Linked DNA regions of Drosophila melanogaster. The protein of the gene in region 2 interacts with the protein of the main gene of each other region in a pairwise test. Each region holds a gene or a part of one and is shown on either strand. Other genes may lie near its edges.

Evidence for each region. The genes of interacting proteins can lie anywhere in the genome.
Region 1: the proteins of CG4496 (region 2) and HLH3B interact in a two-hybrid assay, tested with the Drosophila melanogaster proteins (one large-scale study listed by BioGRID).

The regions. Positions count from the first base shown.
Region 1 is NC_004354.4:2,679,971-2,683,723, forward strand, and holds HLH3B (helix loop helix protein 3B), read right to left. Parts: upstream 1,754-3,753; 5' UTR 1,689-1,753; coding exon 1,364-1,688; intron 1,267-1,363; coding exon 461-1,266; 3' UTR 229-460; downstream 1-228. Other genes in the region: CG2652 (uncharacterized protein), read right to left, coding at 2,147-2,854.
Region 2 is NT_033779.5:7,188,042-7,191,794, forward strand, and holds the start of CG4496 (uncharacterized protein), read right to left. Parts: upstream 1,970-3,753; 5' UTR 1,444-1,969; intron 28-1,443; exon of another isoform or gene 1-27. Other genes in the region: CG4497 (uncharacterized protein), read right to left, coding at 3,361-3,753.

The DNA of each region.
Region 1 (3,753 bases), on a different chromosome or scaffold from region 2:
TGTTACGAATTCAACGAGGTATGACATTCCACTTTTTGACAACTATTTTTATTGCTATAAAAAAAAAATTAGTATAATTACACAATTTGTGGCAAATTTATTAGATTTTTGGATTTTAGATGTTTTTTTTTTAGATTGGCTCACCATCCTAATTTTATGATTTATGTTACTTGCTTACTGATTTCGTTCGATTGGAAATTCAATTCACAGTTGCAAGTTTTTTTTTTTAATGATTTGTCGAATTTGCTTTTTATTTTAAACCGTAAATTATTTAGAATGAAATTTGAATAAACAATACAAACTATAACTATTGATTCTGCATCTGCAATTTGCACTATTAACTTTGTAATTTATTGGTAGATAAAAAAAATAGCAAATCGGGGATAGTATACTATCTCCGAATGCTTTGGCAAAGCCGGTATCCACTTTTTCCAAGATTCCATCCATTAGATTCCTTATTCTACGTCCTGCGCCGTTTGCCCAGACTGAGATCGGTGGCTCCGCCTTCCGGCTTGAGGCGTCGCTTGCTACTCCGTCCGCTGGCCGATTTTACACCGGATACGGTGCCACTGATTCGCTGAGTCTCGGCCATGGCCAGCGGAGCAGTGGTCAACGGCAGGGGTGGGCCGTTTAACGGATGCCCAAGTGGGAGTGTAGACTCCAGGAGAAGCTCGCTTTTGACAACGGCTCCCGGGGCAATCATCAGCAGGTCGTTGCCAGCGTTTCCGTTGGCATGTCCGTGCCCAATGCCATTCCTGTGCATCTGCCCGTCGGTGCGTTCACACTTGATGTGCCGTACAGGCGGAACATCTGGATTCTCCAGATTCTCCCCGTCCGCCGCATGGCCATTGGCCATCCTATTGTCGTTGTTGTTCGGCTCCATTTGAGCCCTGATCGGATGCGAGGGCGCCTGCCGCTGCTGCCACTCGAGGATGCCCGTCAGCAGCTTAATGTACTTAATGGCCGAGCGCAGGATCTCGTTCTTCGATAGCTTCTTGTCCGGCGGATGTGTGGGCACCAGCTTGCGCAGCTCTGCAAAGGCACCGGACACGTTCTGCTGGCGCCATCGCTCCCTTGTGTTGGTGAACACCTTGCGCACACCGCCGGTGGCTCCTACGCCGCTGCCGCCGCCACTGGATGCATTGCCGCCGGAGCCATTGCCTCCACCACCGCCGCTACCGCCGACTGAGCTTCCGGAGCTGGCCGGCGCGGTCAGCAGTCCGTTGCGGGAGTGACTGCGCGGCGAACTGGACAGTGAGCGATTCGCTGCGGGCGGAACAAAGGAATCGAGCGTTATGTATATAAGAAATTGGGAACTACGGGATGTTCTAGGAGCTCTAAAGTTTTAAAGACTAAGCCTCACCATCCGCCTGGTTGCCATTCAGAACGATGTAATCGCGAAGATCCTCCTCGTCCTCCTCCGTGTCGTTGAGCGAGAAGTCGGAAAGCTCCGCGTCACCGTCTCCATCGGATATGGACTCCGTCTTGGGCTGCAGGTGGGGCGTGGCATGTCGGAGCAGGGCGGGCGGATGCCTGCCAGCGGCAGTGTCCCGCATGCTACCATTACCGTTCAGGTGCCCGGATCGCGGTGACTCGTTGGTCTGGCTGTGGCCGGAGGATCCGCTCGAGGCGGTGCTCCGTTCGTCCGCGTTATCCGCTCCGTTCGAGCTGCTCGGTAGCCAGGCCATCTCTCCGATTCGCCGGAGCAGAGGATACGTGCGTTCTGTTGCGTTCGAAGCGCAGCAGCAAAGTGAGCAACTGACTGGGTAACTGGCACTGTGTGTCTGGGAACCAACCCCCTATGGACAGAGGGCGGGGCCAATGGCGCAGCATCCACCCCCGGACGAGGCATACACACAAAATGGGCGTACTCGTACATACATATGTATGTACGTTTGGGTTACCAATGTTGGGCTGACTTCTTACCGAGCCTGTTACTTTTTGATTAGATTAGATACCAAAACATAAAACGAGTATGAGCAAACTATAATATATATTAGCATAAGCAGCTGTCTTAGAAGTAAATGAAATTCATAATTTATTTAGTAATTTAAACGTATCCAATGCCAATCCAGTAACTGCACATGCCAGGACAACAAACATTCTCAGTTGTTCCTTTCATAGAGCCCAATGTATCTATACACGACTACTGATGACCGATGGGATGGGGTATGCCCACACTTAGACGCTTCTTGGGCTGCTTTGCCGGCGGCTGCGAGGGTCGCGCCACATCGCCCACCTGCTCCCGATCCCGGTCCTGTTCCTTTCGCTCACCCGGTGTCTCCGGCATGGCGGACTCCATTGCAAACTGGGGCGATGTCCTGTCCCCGGGCGCACCATTTGCACTGGGCACAAGCACGGGCGTTAGATTCTGTCTCATCATGGGCGAGGGATTGACGAATATCATCTTGTCGAGCATCTCCTCGCAAATACCGGCGTGACCCTCGCGCACCACGCGCGGCCGGAAGATGTACGAGGTGGCCGACATGCGGGCATCCATATACTGCACCTGCACCTCCACGGGAAAGTCGCTGCCCAGTACCTCGCCAATCTCAAACGGAGCGCTGTCCGCCACGTGCAGTCGCAGCGGCAGGCGCGGCGACATCTTGAAGGTGACGCGCCGCACGAACCGCGACAGGTCGCCGCCATCGCGACCTGGGCGCAGGTAGACGCCCCACGTCGGCTCCAGCATGTAGGGCATGTCCGGATCGCACTGTTCCATGCGGCAGCCGATCACGATGTCCCGACTGATCACACAGCGCCCGGTGACAGTGATCGGCGGAGTGCGGTTGCAGCTCACCCGCTGGCAGTCATCGACCACATTCTGATGGCGCAGGAGATTTGTGTAGCTCATCACGATTCAAAAAAAAAAAAAAAAAAAAAACTAATTTCAATTTATGTTTAACTAAAAATTTTTCTACGAAAATTTGAAGGCAACTTTAACTTGTTTGCTTGGTGTGATGCTTTTTCAAATCGAGAGCGACAGCAAAAACAGAAGCCCACTAGATATGCATTTAACTAAAGTAATAACTAATGTACATATAATTTTTTATAGATTTTATCATACTACCTAATAACCGTTGCATGTCTGCTACCTTGTTTTCCCCCTCGAAGCAGATGTTAATCCCAACTTGGGATTAAGGTTCTTCAAAAGTTTCGCGAAAGGCGTTGAAATTTCAACGCCTTCGTCGTCCTACAACGGGCCATCTCCGATTTTTTCACGCCTTAAACTGTGATTTTTTCTAATTAATTAACGCAGAATTTGTTGGTGGACTAGGGAAGAGTTAGCGGACTTGGGAGTACGCAATGCGCAGACTCCGAAGGGCGGAGTTAAGTGCTAAGTCAGAGGAATTTGGGGTTGGTGCGGCCCGGGCATTTACTTGGCCGGGAATATTCCGGGCACAGCGACGTTACTTCAGTTCAGCGGGGCAGCTGAATTCTAATGTGGACATTTTGAGGATAGCGAGACCATTCAGTGCAATCTGTAGGTGCTCCAAGGCCAAGGACTTCGTTTAAAGGTCTGCTTCAAGTCCACCTGATCTGAGCCCCGTATCTGTTATATTCCTTCATAAGTTGCCAACCGAGCAGCTCTAAACGAGACTTCCCAAGGAAACCTAGTTTGGAGAATATGACACTATATTTCTGATATTAATTTAAACTGTTCATTACATTGATATAATTTTTTTACAGACATCTATCTCATCAGAAAGTAGTCAAGTGCTGAAGTAATTTCACTTGAGCTTGTATCTCCGT
Region 2 (3,753 bases):
TTTTATCCGCAATTTGTGCGCTCGGCGCTGCGTCTGCCGTGCGAAGAAGTGAAGAAGAAACTGGATTCGCGATTCGCGATTTGCGGCTTGCCGAGCAGCAACCTCTCGGCAAAAACAACAAAACGCCGCAAAAGTCGAGCTTCGAGTTGACGCCGACTGCGCTGCCCGGCTTGTGAATCAGCGAAGCGAGCAGAGCAGCAGCAGCAACAACAACAACAACCATGTGGGCAGCGCTTAAGGCTTTTTTTTTGTGTGCACGAACGTGAGCCTTTAGCCCCCCTTTCCCACCACTGCCCATTGGCGTGTTAACTTGATTTTTCTTGGGGCCACGCAAGAGCGAAACACGAAAAACAAAGAAAATGCCCCACAACAACAACAAGGGCAACAACAAAAACAATGCAATTACAGCCGGAGCAACAGGCGCAGCAGCAACAACAACTCACGATTTTCAAGATTGCTCACAAGAGCAGGGGCGTAGGCAGGACATGAGAAGGGGTGAGGTTACCAGGAGTGAAAGGAATTCCTTACTATATATACTTGTATATAACAACGATCTAATCTTCAATGAAATGCCAAAAAAAAGATAATTTGCTTTTTGTTAAATAGGAACGATAATGTAGGATTAAAAATTTAAAGTATTTATTGTGGTTGGGGCAAATAACCCCCTTCGACGCAAATGCTTACGCCCGTGCAGAGAGGCGAAAAGAGAGCTGGAGAGTGATATCAAGGGGGAGGTGGGCGAGAGAGTGGGCGAGTGGGAGTACGGAAGCATGGCGAGAGCGCGGTGGGAGGGGGTAGAGGAGCAACGAAAAGGGAGCAGCGTGACCAAAGCGTAAAAGGCAACAACAACGGCGTAGCCAGCGCCAACGCCGCTGTCAACGTCAACGTCGACGTCGAAAAAAAATTTATTGACGTCCGAGCAGCAGCGCTAAAGTAAAACCGTGCGCCTTCAACTTTTTTTATTCGCATTTGCTTTTCTTCTTATTTTTAGCTTTTTGTTGTTGGTTTCCTTTTTATGCAAGTATATACATATGTACCTTCGTACATATGTACATATATCTAAGTAATTGACTTTAATTATTGGCCGCTTCTTTGGTTATTTTCCATTTTCAGGGCGATCTTCGGTAAAATGCCCATAAATGCCTGAAAACCCGCGATCGTTTTTTATGGAGTGTTAAAAAATGGCTTGCAGGTGAAAAATTACTAATATTCGCGTTTTGTTTAGTATAAGCCTTTACGATAAGCCATATACGACAAATTTGACTAGTTTTCGATTTTGAAAACGTAAACATGTTTCTCATCCTTCATCCTGTGATTTAAATAATTATTAAATTCAAATAAAATTAAATAAATTTAAAGCATTCAGCAATTAAGAGATAATCTTATACATACATACATATTCTAAATAACTAACCATATTTAAACAGGAAGAGACAAACTCACCTTTATATTTTTTCGCATCCGACTTATATAATCACTTTTGAGTCACTTTTGGCTGCCTAGGATAGCGTGTTTTCTTCTAATTTGTATTCCATTGGCGTGGGTAGTGGGGTTCTGCCCCTGTGATATATGGAGCCAGGTTCCCAGATCCGCTTCGAATGCTTTGGGCTAGGCTCCCGATTGCTTTGGTCTCTCGGTCTCGAAATATTGGCGATCGTGACTGCAGCGCTTAGTTATCTTATTTTGTTGTTTTTTTTTTTTTTTTTTTTTTGCTATAAAACTCGTTTGTATCGGATCCCCTCACACGTCCACAGACACCCACTCGACTTGGTCCGTGTGGAAACGGCCTGGTTTATCGGTCTCGGTCGGTCTCGGTCCCTGGCTTCTATCTTCTGGTCTGCGGGATTGGTTCGTCCGTGTTCAAGGCACGAGCATCTGGCCATGTGCATTGTGTCCTATCTGTGTGGGGAAACCAGTATGTCGCTGTTTGCGAATGGGGATTGGGGATTTGGGGAGCAATGCTCGGCTTCTCATTACCCAGGTGTTCGAACTTTTCGGTGCGTGTGTGTGCATATCGTGTATGTGGATACTTACTCGAGCTTGCAGGTGCTTCATGTGGCTGGCACGATATTACGCTGGGCGACGTTATTCTAGGCATACTCATAAAAGTTGTATATATAATAATATAAATTATACCTGCTTTTAATATTTATAAAGTAATGAATGCTATGGCCGTAGGAATTGTGCATTTTCTATCTGAAATATACTCATTTTGAATAGGCACTTTCTTGCTTTAGGTTTAGTATCTTATGTACATAAAATATGGTCAAGTTCACTGCCCGCGAGATACTTTTTACTTAAGTCGCTATTTATAATCTAGTTAACATATTTATTTAATTATTTATATAGTAGTTAATTGTTTAAGCCAACCAATGAAAACAAACAATTTGATCAATTGAAAAAATGTGTATTTCTTTTTGGATCCTTTTTAAGTATAACTTTTTTTCTTGAAACTATGTAAATTCGCTTACGATAATTAGAATCGGATCGTAAATCTATATAATATATGCGTTACTATATCAGTAAGGTTTTTGTGGGATACGCGCAGATATCCGCGCTAAATTGGATCACATTATAGGCAATATAATGCTGGATATATTATTACACATAAGCATAGAATAAACATATTTGGCAAAATTGGGGTTTTCTTCCTAATATCTAAGGGGTGAGGTGGCGACTAAAAACAAAACTAATGTACGTCGATTATTAACCGAAACATTGGAAATGGGAAAACATTCTATAACACAAAGATCGAGGCAATAAACTCTGGCTATATATAGTATAGTGAACCTTAGGCTAACATATTAAAACCGATTGATTCTAGGGGTGAAGGGAAGTGCGCAGCGTTAAATGATATGCAAGATGGTTTAGAACTTCAGACAAACAACTTAACTATGTACAACAAAGCTACGATCTAAAGTTAAGCAAGTCGGAGGATCTTTTGAAACTCTCAACTTAAGCGTGTGTGTGTAATTGGTTATTTCGGGTCGATTTTCTTAAACAAAAATCAAAGTACCACTAATTTATCTTTTGTCTCTTCCACGAAGATTTGTTTTGAACACTACGGGAAATATACATTTTAAACCATTTTTAATCCTTTACATATTACACCAAAGGTATTCTTAATTCAATTTTCTTTCTAAAAAAATATTGCTTGTGGTTTTTATAACAAAACCTTTGGTTGAGTTTTAGAACTTAAAAATGATCAAGCTATGCAATTTTATTCGAAAATATTTTCTAAAGCATTCAAAACAAATCAGCTAAAGTGCAGCAATGATTAACTTTTGGCTCCTGAGATTATAAGCATTTCTTAGAATTTCCTAAAATCGACCCCTAAACTAAGTTAATCTGTGTATGTTCTTAAAGCTTTTGCGGCACATCTTTGCTGACGGCTCCCGTTCGCTCGTGATTGACCACAAACTTCTTGGCGCCCGACAATCCCTGCTTGTTAATGTAGAAGCTCTTTTGGGCCAGCGGCGAACCACCGCCATCGGAATCAACCACCAGGCGATTCAGGAAAGTGGCAGCCGTCTTGGCACCACTATCGCAGGAGGATGACTCTATGCTAATGGTGGAGCATCCACCGATCGATGAGGTCTCACTTTTGGCATCGTCCATCAGAGTGGCATCATCCACCAGGTCGTTGACCAGCACCTGCGTACTGGACGATGCGGTGGACACTATGGAAGAGGTGCGACTGCGGCAGGAGTGCGTCTCCGATTCGGGTATCGAGATACCCTCGTCGATGCTTTG